2 linked regions of the Drosophila melanogaster genome follow. The protein of the gene in region 2 interacts with the protein of the main gene of each other region in a pairwise test. Each region holds a gene or a part of one and is shown on either strand. Other genes may lie near its edges.

Region 1 (7,272 bases), on a different chromosome or scaffold from region 2:
CTTGGCCTTCTCCTTTTTCAGGTCCTTGTCGTAAAACTTGCCGCTCTTCGTGAAGGTCTTCTGCTCGTTGCGCATCTCGGCCAGCTTTCGGTTCTTCTGTTTGATGATGTTCTTCTTGTTGGCCGACTTCTTCTTGCCCGCCTCGGAGATCTGCACCTTGATGTTGCGTCCCTGCAGCTCTGTGTTGTGCAGCTGGAAGGCATTCTGGAAACTGCTTAGGTCGGCCATTTCCACAAAGGCGAAGCCCCCTCGTCGCTTCTTGGGAATGCGGATAGACTTGACCGTGCCTGCCGCAGAGAAGTGCAGCTCCAGGTCGTCCTTTGTGGTTTCGAAGTTCAGGTTCGTCACGTACAGGACGTGTCTGTTGGTTTTGGAGGCTCCTCGAAGCAGTGAACTCAGCTGGTCACTGGTTATCTGCCCATTTTCCGCAGATTCCTCTTCCTCGGCTCCGGAAGCAGCACTGCCCTCAGCGGCTGCCTCGTCGTCGGACTTGGCCTCATCCTCGCTCTTACTATCCTCCGGGTCACTGGGATTCCGTCCGTCCTCCTTGTCCACATACGTGCCCTCGAAGATCTCCCTTCGCTTCTGGTCATCGAAGTTTCCCAATAGATCCGCACTGTCGTCGTTGACTGTGCGTTGAACTCGCTTGGGATTGAAGAAAGCCTCCACCTCATAATCGCTGCCAGAATCACTGGCCATCGTGATATTTCTGGGGGAGATTGCAGTGCACACCGATACGCAGACACCACCACGTGGGATTCCCTCTGAATGGCAAATCTGTGCGGTCCCAGACATTTTCCAGCACTGGCTAATTGCGCGCCAAGAAATTCAAATCCCAGGCCATATTGCAATCGCAGCTTGTTAGAAACCGGTTGCAACTGCGGGAGCAAAATCAGACTGCTAATGGAGTTATGCGAAAATAATGCTAATCGGCGTTAGCATCGAAGGAACCGGTTAGCTCTTATCAGCTAAAAATTAATCGTGCGGTGCTGACAATTGATGAACGTGGTTGTTTTGGGAATCTTCCGCACAGATCTCCAAAGATAACCCCCCGAATATGATATGCCGAGTGGGGCGATAATTAATGCCTGCAGAATGACTGCATCTATGTCTTTTGTTTAATTAAGACAAACGACCGCTGGGAGCCAGTTATGAAGAAAATTTATGCAGTTGGTGATTCCGGCCGGTAAAATGTCAGTGGAGAGCTACATATAAAAGCGCAATTTTCGGCAACCAGCAGTCAAAATTTTATCGCTATCTATCAGCACACACATCCCCTTTCCAACCATGAAGTTTGTGGTAAGTGGCATCGAAATTAGATTTTGGGGACCTCTGAACAACGATTTGTCTTTTAGATCGTTCTTGCCTGCCTTTTGGCCGTGGTCTTCGCCAACGAGGAGGCTGATGTTGTAAAGAGCGACTCCGAGGTTAACTTGCTGGACTTTAACTACGCTTATGAGCTATCCAACCATATTCGCGCCGTGCAAACTGGAGCCTTGAAGGAGCACGACAACTGGGTGGTTTCCGGGGAGTACGAGTACGTGGCCCCCAACGGCAAGACCGTCAAAGTGGTCTACACCGCCGATGAAACCGGCTACCACCCAAAGGTCGTCGAGGCCTAATGAACAGGACCCACTCCCGAAGACCGAAATAAAAAATTAAATCCATTGCAGCAGCGAACATTTTGAATTTCCGTTCTTTTTCTTTTGTGTGAATAGACACTCTTCTTCTTTCTGCCACTAAAATCTAGGGCTGGCAAATTACGAGCGAAATTTTATACAATGTTATCGCTTGTCTCGCAAATTTGCATTAATGTGTAAAGTTAAGTAAACTCATTAAAACTATGTCTGGGCAGCCAACAGCCGTGGACTGCTTAGAGAGCAGTGGAAGCACAGTGGAGGATGTCCAAGAAACACCGGCGTCGAGGGAAAAAAGTTACGGGTTGCCGGTGCGCAAAGGAGAAAATAGCTTGGAGTCTCCTGCAGAACAAGCCGCAAAGGATGTGGAAATTGAGGAACTGACACACAGTGAAGCAATCGCCGCCACCGGTTCAACCAGGAAGCAGTGCCCATATGGAGGTAAGGCCCCTGATGAACCTGGAAAGTTGGCCGACGAATCGGAGGACCGCAAGGGAGAGAACACGAAAGCCATTGCAAGCAGCCCGGTTTTGGTAGCTGTGGATTCGGACAGCAGTGTTGAGCTAATAGAGAGTCCTGTCAAATTCTCCTCCGCCAACGAAAGTGAGAAAGATCCGCCAAAACCAGATGCTGTCAATGAAGCTGCGGCTAAAGAGGCCGAGGAAATGACTGATAGCAGCATCAGCAGTCCCACATCCGAAAGTTTTCCTGAAAAAGATGAAAAGACCAATAAGGAAAATGAGCAAGAACCTCCTGGCATGGAGGTAGATCAGGACGTCGAGGAGTCAATAAGTCGACCAGCAGAAGAATACAAAATTGAGAATACATTAAAAGGTCACAAGCGTATTAGCTTAACGGAAATCGAAGAACACAAAATTGTTGATAAAAAAGACGATGTCCTAGAGGTGGAGCTTGAAAAGGGCACTGCTCCGAAAGCTGCAGAAGACGAGAAGCTGAACGCTTTGTTATCAGATGGAGATGTCTTCTACGACAAGGAATGTGTCAACTGCAATTGCACAAAGCTTCATAAACAGTACGTGTTGGCTAACATGGCCACTTTAAACTTTTACCAGGTGCTCCGAAAGTCTTCCAAGCAGCAGTTCCTCTGCATGGGATGCCATGACACAGCAATGGACTTGTATGAGGTCAACTAGCATATTTATTAACTTAAGAGGGAAACTTAGAACGTATTTCTTTATTTAGGAGTATGCTGGACAACTAATGGCCAAGCAGCCGCTGCTGCTAAAGGATTTCCATCAGGATCACGCCGACTTTGTGGCTCTGGACAGCAGCGATGAGGAGGAAGAGGAGAAGCAGCCAGGTGAGACTGCTATCATGATAAATAAACAATAGCAAAAAAAAAAACGTACTAAATATATTTTATCCGCACAGAAAAATCGGACTTTTCGAAAAACAAGCTGCAGCTCATCGAAGATGAACTCGATGATGCCATCAAAAATGTACTTAACAAGGTGGATTTTACGGCTCAGCTGTCCTGGTCAAAAACTATTCTCCAGGCGAAAGCAGACCACTTGGAGCGACAATTCGCACTGGCAGATGTGGAACTCGAAAAAGTTCAGACCACCGCTGACAAAATGCACTGCGCTTTGTATAACTCGTGTCCGGTGGCACACAAACATCTGCCCACCCTGGACATTGAACCCAGTGACTATGTGGTAAGTAAGAAGTGATGCCGTTTGGATCTGATTTAATACAACCATTTACTCAGCATGAAGTTCCACCTCCTGGCGAAATCGTGCGTCCTCCAATACAGTTGGGAGAGACATACTACGCTGTTAAGAACAAGGCTATTGCCAGCTGGGTGTCCATAAAGGTAATCGAGTTTACAGAGAGCACCGCCATCAACGGAAACACGATGAAGAGCTACAAGATTAGGTACCTCAACACTCCGTACCAGATGATCAAGACAGTGACGGCCAAGCACATTGCCTACTTCGAACCACCGCCAGTGCGACTGACCATTGGTTAGTTCCCAATAGACCGGTTATTTATCAATCTATAAACTAACCCACTCATTGTGCACTAGGTACCCGCGTGATTGCGTACTTCGATGGCACCACTTTGTCGCGGGGCAAGGATAAGGGCGTGGTGCAGAGCGCCTTTTATCCAGGCATCATCGCTGAGCCGTTGAAGCAGGCCAATCGCTACCGCTACCTAATATTCTACGACGATGGGTACACTCAGTACGTTCCGCACCGCGATGTCCGTCTAGTTTGCCAGGCTTCCGAGAAAGTGTGGGAGGACGTACACGCCGCATCGCGCGATTTCATACAGAAGTACGTGGAGAAGTACTCCGTGGATCGTCCAATGGTGCAATGCACCCGGGGACAAAGTATGACCACTGAATCGAACGGGACCTGGCTGTACGCGCGCGTCATTGACATCGACTGCAGCTTGGTGTTGATGCAGTTTGAGGGCGACAAAAACCATACGGAGTGGATATACAGGGGTTCATTGCGCTTGGGTCCTGTCTTCAGGGAAACCCAGAACAATATGAACAGTTCAAGCGCACAGCAGCTGCGTGTCCCAAGAGTAAGCATCGTGTCGATTCATCCTGCGGTCCTAACTACAAAATGTCTTTCTTTTTCAGCGCACGGAGCCCTTTATTCGGTACACCAAGGAGATGGAGTCCAGCAGCAAGGTGAACCAGCAGATGCGTGCCTTTGCCCGCAAGAGCAGCGCCTCCGCCCAAAATAACGCATTAGCGGCTGCATCTTCGGCAGCAACCCCAGCCGGAGGACGCACCAATGCAGGAGGTGTCAGCACCAGTAATAGCGCAAGTGCTGTGCGACACCTAAACAACTCGACAATCTACGTGGACGACGAGAACAGGCCCAAGGGCCATGTAGTCTACTTTACAGCCAAGCGGAATCTGCCTCCCAAAATGTACAAGTGCCACGAGTGCAGCCCGAACTGCCTCTTTAAGATCGTTCACCGTCTGGACAGCTACAGTCCGTTAGCGAAGCCTCTGCTTTCTGGCTGGGAACGTCTTGTCATGCGGCAGAAGACCAAGAAGTCTGTGGTATACAAGGGACCTTGTGGCAAAAGCTTGCGCAGCCTGGCCGAAGTTCACAGGTACCTTCGAGCTACTGAAAATGTGTTGAACGTAGACAATTTTGACTTTACGCCCGACCTCAAGTGTCTGGCCGAGTACTCCATTGATCCCTCGATCGTGAAGGACACGGACATTTCAAAGGGGCAGGAGAAGATGGCGATTCCGCTGGTAAACTACTACGACAACACCCTGCCGCCCCCATGCACCTACGCGAAGCAGCGCATCCCTACCGAGGGTGTTCATCTGAATCTGGACGAGGAGTTCCTCTTGTGCTGCGACTGCGAGGACGACTGCTCGGTAAGACGTCTTACAGATCTGATTACCTCAAATTATACCCAGCCGCCCACTATTTTGTGTATCCCTATCAGGACAAGTCAAAGTGCGCCTGTTGGCAGCTAACGGTGGCGGGCGTGCGGTACTGTAACCCGAAGAAACCCATCGAGGAGATAGGCTACCAGTACAAGCGGCTCCACGAGCACGTGCCCACCGGCATCTACGAGTGCAACTCGCGCTGCAAGTGCAAGAAGAATTGCCTGAACCGGGTGGTGCAGTTCTCCCTAGAGATGAAACTGCAGGTGTTCAAGACCTCAAATCGTGGATGGGGCTTGCGCTGCGTTAACGACATCCCCAAGGGTGCTTTCATCTGTATTTACGCCGGCCATCTGCTCACGGAGACGATGGCCAACGAAGGCGGACAGGACGCCGGCGACGAGTATTTCGCGGACTTAGATTACATAGAGGTCGCTGAACAGTTAAAAGAGGGATACGAGTCGGAGGTGGACCACTCGGACCCGGACGCCGAGGAGGACAACGGGGGACCCGATGCCGAGGACGATGACGACTTCCGGCCAAACTATCACTACCAGCGCAAAATCAAGCGCTCTTCCAGAAGCGGCTCCACGCAGAACAGCTCCACTCAGAGCAGCGAGTTGGACTCGCAGGAGCGTGCGGTGATCAACTTTAACCCAAATGCTGATCTGGACGAGACGGTGCGGGAGAACTCGGTGCGGAGGCTTTTCGGCAAGGACGAGGCGCCCTACATCATGGACGCCAAGACAACGGGCAACCTTGGACGCTATTTCAACGTGAGTTGGAAGTTTTTTGTTATTTTGCCGTGTGGCTGATTCTCTTCTTCTCCCGCAGCACTCGTGCAGCCCCAATCTCTTCGTGCAGAACGTGTTCGTGGATACTCACGACCTGCGTTTCCCCTGGGTTGCCTTCTTCTCGGCCGCGCACATCCGCTCCGGCACCGAGCTGACTTGGAACTACAATTACGAGGTGGGCGTGGTGCCCGGCAAGGTGTTGTACTGCCAGTGCGGGGCCCCCAATTGCCGCCTTCGTCTGCTCTAAGTTCTAGCTTAAGTTAGAGATCCATACAGGAAATATACTCATTAAAGAAGAATTAGAATTAAAAATTTAAACTTTAAACATTATCTGTTCCGTTAGGGTAACGGAAACATTGCATTTTTATAAGCTACTGCTGTTCTGCACCGTCCGTTTCAAAGTACACAATTTTCTTCACGTTTAGTGTTAAAGGAATAAATATAGACAAATGAATTTTAAAAAATTATACTTTAAAAAAATAATAATGTTCGTTAATTTAACGGTATTAATTTATGTGGTATTTTAACGCATTTTACCTAGTGGTATACTTAATCATCAGCCGTACGGTATTTTTAATCGTTATCCGAACGGTCACACTATCCACCGAGCAAAAAAGCAAATTTAGGCTTTTTAAAATTCGAGAGTAGCTAAATTAGGGGCCGCAATGCGCCAAGCTCACCTGTAAGTGGCTCCAGCAAGTGTCTCGTCGCAGGTGCACAGGTGCTAGGCAGCAGGACTCCGCCGACGGCTGACTAAGAGCAGCTTATCCGCCCCTTGGGAAGAAAAAATCGATTTTGTGATAACGGGCTTACGCTTACGCGTTTTTGCACTGCTAGTCGGAACCAATTGCCAGTAGACTCCACACCATGAATGTGGACTTTGCGAGGGTGTGCGGGAAGCACATAGGCGTCTACGAGGCCTACTACAAACTGGTAAGCGCACCACGCCTCCAAGCCGCACTGTTACCAGGATGGCGGCCAATGTTGAGCATCCGTATCCACACCCACCCTCTATCGATTTTTGCAGATTGACCCCAAAGGCACAGGGGCAATCGAGGCCATGACTGCGGCCAAGTTTCTCAAGAAGTCGGGCCTTAGCGACGTTGTGCTAAGCAGGATCTGGGACCTGTCTGATCCGAGCGGCAAGGGCTTTCTGGACAAGCCGGGCTTTTTTGTAGCCCTTAAGCTGGTGTCCCTGTCGCAGGCGGGACAGGTGGCCAGCATGGCCAACATCTACCTGGACATTGCCAACCCGCCCAAGTTGGTGAGTAATCGCAACTTCGCCCGAAATGGGCAAGACGAGATATATTACATTAATGTCGCCCCAATCGCCAGGGTGAACTACCAAAAACGATGCCGTCGCGTATTCAGACTGTTCCCGTTGCTAGCGGCGGAGTGGCAAACGGAGACTGGTCCATCGGGGTGATCGATCGGCTCAAGTACGAGCAGCTCTTCG
Region 2 (6,207 bases):
CACATTATACTGCACTTGCGGATTCTGGTTGGGATTATTGTAGCGCCATCGCTCATTGTATAGGTTAGTTTGCTCCAAAGGTGAACGACCCAGGCGATACTTCTCATTTAGAACTTGGTTGCTGAAGTATCCAATTGGGCGGATCGTGGCCTTGATTGTGAGATTGCCTCTAACTGGTAGGCCACTGGTAAAGTTAGCCATCACCCTTCCGTAGATAAACGGATCCGTTGTGAAGAAGTACGCAGGCATGGTAACATTCACTTCGAATCGGGTCTGATAGTATTCCTCCACGGTGAAGTGACTCTCCTCTTGCTGTCCCTGAGCTATTACACGGATAGTCCATTCTCCAAAAGTGGGCTGATCCGAAAGTTTGTACTCCAGCGAAACGGAACCCAAGTTTGATTGACTGAAAGTTAAAAGGAAATAGGTTGTTTATTTGCAATTTAATTTGTTGATGGAGAGGAACTATTAAGACGTATGAAATATAATAATTCCACTTACCGCGATAGCCAACGTTTAAGAATATGCCTGTTTGGATCCAGCATGTACACATCGACGGGATTGTCAAATCCCTTCAGTTCGGTGGTGATCGGAATGGTCCTAAATCGCACAGTTTCCCCTTGCATATAAAGAGGCTTATCGGTCTGCACAAATATCGTCATGGAGCGCTGTGAGAAGTCTAGTCTTGTTTCGTTCAGGAAGGCGAGGCCACCGAAAACGTTCTGGTAGAAACCTTCCACTCGAAGCTTATAGCTTCCAGTCACACTAGTTGGTGGGATCCTCATGAGCAACGTCTCCGGTATGCCCTCCTTGACATCCTTAGAGTCTCCGCTGATTTGGACACCATCGCACGCGATGCTGGCATGAACGGTTATCGGGTACTGAGCTTGAAGAATGGATACGGACACCTGATAGATTAGACCAGGTCTGACCATTCGAGATGCCACAATGAAGTAAGTGGGCTCCCTGGAATGCAGCGATTCCAGGAAGGTGGCCTTGATGTTATAGGACGACTTTCCACGAGTCAGACTCGGCTCCTCGTTGTCCTGATAGCCTCCTCCCACTCGTTTATTATAGTCATCTTGCCCGGCAATATCGTTGTAGCTCCCCGAATCGGTCCTGTACGGCGGGCGATCACTGGGATTCGTTTGGCCAAAGTTTTGGTTGTTGTTGCTATACTGATTCGTCTGTGGATTGTTACCCCACTGCTGGTTGGGCAGTAGCGGCTGCTGGGGATTCTGCTGGTTCTGGTTGGGGTTGTAGTAGTTGTCGTTTTGTCCGACCGCCGGTTGCAGTGCATCCAAGACGGCGGCTACCACGAGCAGGGCGCGCAGCAAGTGCCACATCATTGCTGAGAGGAGAAGTCAGAAGTGAATGAATTAGAATCGCTGGGCATAAATGCATCTCCCAAATACTATAAATAGAGGCCTCTGATTTGGGTGATCGGCCTGTTCTTTAATGCCTGTCGAATAGGGTGTATCAATGGTTTTCAAAACAAATTTTCGAGTTTATTCGATTTTTCGATAAAAAATAGTAAGCTTTGTATGAAGTTTTTTTGTGATATTGAATAAGAATCACTTTTAACATCCCTGAATAAGCTGCTCTTTAAAAATAAGTGCATAACCTCCTACCAATACTTTGTTTTAAATATAGCCTGTAGTTAAGTACTTAAGATTTTTTTAAATTTTTCGCATATATGTATTTCCAAAGCACCCTAATCCCTAAGTCATGGACCGCATCTCATGTTCGAGGATTGTTGTTGGTCGGTTGATTTCCGCGTGATGCGAACAAGTCGTTAATGAGGGCGCCGACATCGGTATTAATAGACTATAGACGCGATCCGGCAGGAGCAATGAACGTATCTTCAGGGAGATCTTTTTAAGGGGCCAGCGGCAATATGGAAACTATGTCAAACATTAAGTAAAATGTCATTCAAGTGGGCGGCGCAATTAGACAGCAGAGATGTATGCCACGCTGGGATTTGAGGCGTTCGAATCTTCTTTTGAATGGGTTTTTAATGCCTTCGTTATTTATGGTTGATTTATAAGAGATTACGAAATCTCAGCTTCACAAACCACTTTGATTTTCGAGGAATAATTATGAATATACCCATACTATACTATAGACAATTTTTCATATCAATAATGATGTGAACTTTTAATTTAATCTACTTAAAATTCAAAAGTATGACAAATTGTAAGGAACGTTTGAACTCAATTAAAACAGTTCTTAGGAGTTCTTAAAAAATTCATTTTTAAAAATTATTTATTTTTTTTTTGCAAATTGCTGGTGGAGAAATGTGTGCAACATTAAAAAATGCGCATATTTAAGTATTCCAGCTTATCAGCACACAATCAGCCGGCACACAGGGAATACATCATTCGAGCAAGGACCTCGAAATCCTCCCTACTCAGGTATTAACTCCATGGTGTAGGGTAAGAAGTCAACGCTTAATGGCAACCATACAAAAAGGGTCCACGCCAGGAGAACAATGAGGCACCGGCACCGACTTCTAGACAAGTGAGGTGAAATGAAATTGAAGGATGGATGGAGGGAGTGCGTGTGTGTGTGTGGCTGGCTGCATTTGAAATGCATTCACTGGCGAGCAAATGAAGGTAAAGGTAGACCACTGGAACTGAGCGAAACACGCAAATGAAACAACCGGCTACCTGACCATAGATATCGGCCTGGGCGAGATACTCTGTGCACTGAAGCAGCAGAAGTTACTGGCCTATAGGCCAGTCTCTACTCTCGGCGGTGAAAACAAATACCGAACTCGTAATAATTTCAACAACGCGACTTGTAATCCACCCTTTGCGCACAGCTACACAGAGAGAAAATAGTTTACTAGATTTATTTTTTTCACCTTTTGAAATAAATAAGATCTTGATTAAATGGGATTTTTCATATTAAAAATATAAATATTTTTCATTATAAAAAAAAATATTGAATTTTGTTATTTAAAAAAATCTTTTTATAGAGTTTTCTTTCGTTTAAAAATGCCATTTCGGTATAACATTTCTATATAACAAATATATTTGACATCACTTTTTCCAGTGCAAGAGGGCGCACCAGCACCAGCGTAATACACAAGTAAAGTGGGCATTAATTAGCCGAGAAGACCCATTCGAAATGAGTTGAGAGGGCAAAAGTGCAATTGAAACAGCAGGCAGGACATTTTGGGCGGCCAAAGGAGCAACTGTTGGCGGAAATTCGAGAGCTTGAAGGCAGAAAAACGAAAGAAGACGCCGCAATCCAATTGGCCAGCAGGTGGCCAAAACGCCATCCTCACTCACATTTCCTTTTAGTGGCAAAGTGTTCCTAACGAAAAACTTCCTTTACAATTACTAATTAAAGCAACGAGCACATAGTACAAAGTTGTAACCAATATTTGAGGCACTTCTTCGTTTTTCGGTCAACGCCCATGTGCCAACAACAACAACAGCAACAACACAATAACACTGGCTTAGGCATTTTGGAGACGGCCAAACACACGATTTTTGGGCGGGTCGCCAAGTGGAAGAGCTCCGAAAAGCCATTTCTACTCACCTCGGTACTGAAATTCGATCTAATCTGGCTGCTCAGCAGGCCATGCACATTTTATTAAACAACAGAAAGGTAAATAAAACTAACTCGGGAACTCAAAGATTCGAAAAAATGAAACAACACAAAACCAACAGCGATCCACACCCGCTTTGATGACTGATGCAGTGTGACCGTTCGCAGAGATTGGCACAATACCAGATTTCAGGTGTGGCCAGAACGCTAAGAATTTAACGGTCGCACTGCGAGTTCAAACTGCTGATGTGAAAATTTTATAATTCCTAATGATTTTAATGTCATAATAAATTAGGAACAAAGGAAGTAAGCTCATAACGTTACAAAAGTTTATCAGAAAAGCGTATTTTTATTTATTAACTAAGTTTAAGCTTAATCTGCGAACCAGTTATAATTTACGTGTTTCCACAGAATTCTAAGAATAACATATTGCTAGAATATATGAGGGAATTTAGTTCTTAGCCTGGGAGTAAGACAGAGATGGCAAAACTTCATCCGCTCAGCGCCAGTGTTGGATAATGGCATTCTATAGTCTTTTTAGTATATATCGTTCAGTATTTTTGCTACTATTTGACTATAAGCCTTGGTCATACCACCGCTTCAGTTGTCTGTGTGTGTGTGTATTGTATGCATGTGATGTAAGGTCATTCGCGTGAAAATATCAGCGAGGAAAAAATCGAATTTTTGTGTTTTGTGTGCTAGGTAAATGCGAAAAATTGTGCAAAGTCGATCGGTTTAAGGCCCAGTCTGTGTGCCAGCGGTGAAAGTGTGAGCCCCCTCGGTCATTTACGTGTGAAAAGTCGCCAAGAAGTCAAAGGTGCTGGGTTGCCCAACGCAAAAATTATGACGAAAAGCACACCAGCACAAGTACCCATCTCTCTCTCTCTCTCACACACACACACTCGCACACGCAGCAGAAGCAAAAGCAGTGGAGCTGGGAGAGCTAGAACCTAGAGTTGTCAACGCTTTGCGAGGAATTTCGTCATTGAGCGGTGGCATGTGTGTGTGTCAGTGCGTGCTCAGTGAGTGTGTGTGCGAGAGTGCGTGCGTGTGTATTGGTAGTTTGTTCTCTTCATTGGTAGTAAAACACAAAAGAAAAATCATCGGGGAAAAATGTGAAAAATGTACATAATTCGTAACCCAGTCTGCGGCTAGTGCTCGCCAGCCAGTGCCCGAAAATCGTGCTGAGATGAAACACCGCGCACCGATTGAAAAACTATTACATAAATAGTGCAAAGTGTAAATGTTATTGAAGGCAAAAAAGCGGAGCAGCGTTGGGAAAAAGAGCCGCGCACGCTGTCGTCATCGCTGCTCAAAAAGCAAGAAGAAAGCGAAAAAGAGAAATATAAAGACACCCCCTTCCTTTGCCACAAAAGAAAAGAAATGAAATGAAAATGGAAACCCAGTAACTAAAATCCCCAACGCGTTACTGTCACAATGCCGAAAAGTGCTTAAAAACCATATCCGTGTCTGTGTGTGGGTGTTTTCCCTGCTCTGATGTACATACTCCAGTGTGATGCATGATGTACGATGTACTACACTATTCATGCCAATAACATTTTGTTAATACCGTAAATAAACTAATAACATTTAACGCGTGCGATTGTGTGGGTGTTGGGGAATACGGCCCTGCGCCTGTGTGAGTGACCTCGTGTGCGTGTGTCGCGTGCTCCGCTAGTGTTGGTGTATCTTTGCAAGTGTGTGTGTGTGCGGCGGCAAGGAGTGTCATGCGTATATTCTACCTCCCACAACCCCCTACTTACCCACCACCCCCACCCGCAACCTCACACCCTTTTCGAACACTGACCCACTCGCAGGGCCTATCCAACAGCAACAACAACAAAGCCAACAAGCAGGCGGCAGCAGCTCCTTTGCTCCAACGAGTTTTATCTTGTTTTGCCGTTTTAATCATATGCGGGCGCAGAGAAAGGAGAAAAGCCATCGAGCAAGAGAGTGGGAGAGCGTGGAAGGGGAAGAGAAGAGCAGAGCAGCGAAGAGGAGAGGAGACAATCACGTCATCCAGCCTGCCATGACACACCAACATCAACATCGATACAGTGAGGGCTCTCGGCTAATGAACAGCGGCTCAGAATAGATAAACTCGTTCTTTATTGTGGTTACCCCAGAGCTGTTGGCCATATCAAATTCCATTGCATACCTCGGCGATCGCGGGCACAGTGGGTTGCAATCCGTTTATGGTAGGATACTTTAAAGAAATGCTGGATTTCAAACACTAGTCTTATTGGGACATCTTAAACATTCGTTCTTATAGCATACTTTGCGGATTACACGCACTTTGTCCTTAAATGGAAACCAAATTGTGTTTTTTGGGCTAAAAAAAAAGCAAACAAAGCAAGGAATTATATATTGCATTGGTCATCTTTTGGGGTTTGCTGGCTTTTAAAGTTAATGGTTCTGTGTTGAAAACTTTACCTTCGAGAAATTCAGAAATAATTCCTCGTGTGCCAAAGGTTTTTACTCAAGAAGTTTGCCTGTAGTTTTTAGATGATTCAAATCACAACCCGGATTGTAACCGTTTTCTATCTATTTCGATTTGAAGACGGCTTCACTGTACACAGCATTGATGACAACACCGAGATACACACATCTAAGTAAACCCTGTTGGCGAAATAAAGAGGAACGCATGAA

The links. Proteins that work in one complex are often made in the same cells at the same time.
Region 1: the proteins of Mcr (region 2) and egg interact in a two-hybrid assay, tested with the Drosophila melanogaster proteins (one study listed by BioGRID).

The regions. Positions count from the first base shown.
Region 1 is NT_033778.4:24,774,385-24,781,656, reverse strand, and holds egg (eggless), read left to right. Parts: upstream 1-1,755; 5' UTR 1,756-1,843; coding exon 1,844-2,782; intron 2,783-2,840; coding exon 2,841-2,958; intron 2,959-3,029; coding exon 3,030-3,313; intron 3,314-3,366; coding exon 3,367-3,622; intron 3,623-3,684; coding exon 3,685-4,190; intron 4,191-4,248; coding exon 4,249-5,010; intron 5,011-5,081; coding exon 5,082-5,798; intron 5,799-5,856; coding exon 5,857-6,063; 3' UTR 6,064-6,123; downstream 6,124-7,272. Other genes in the region: CG3594 (uncharacterized protein), read right to left, coding at 1-699; Lcp9 (larval cuticle protein 9), read left to right, coding at 1,288-1,299, 1,356-1,622; Eps-15 (epidermal growth factor receptor pathway substrate clone 15), read left to right, coding at 6,684-6,749, 6,844-7,080, 7,152-7,272. UniProt on the Drosophila melanogaster protein: Histone methyltransferase that specifically trimethylates 'Lys-10' of histone H3 (H3K9me3) in ovary. H3K9me3 represents a specific tag for epigenetic transcriptional repression by recruiting Su(var)205/HP1 to methylated histones.
Region 2 is NT_033779.5:8,079,262-8,085,468, forward strand, and holds the start of Mcr (macroglobulin complement-related), read right to left. Parts: upstream 3,722-6,207; 5' UTR 3,550-3,721; intron 1,352-3,549; 5' UTR 1,350-1,351; coding exon 502-1,349; intron 407-501; coding exon 1-406.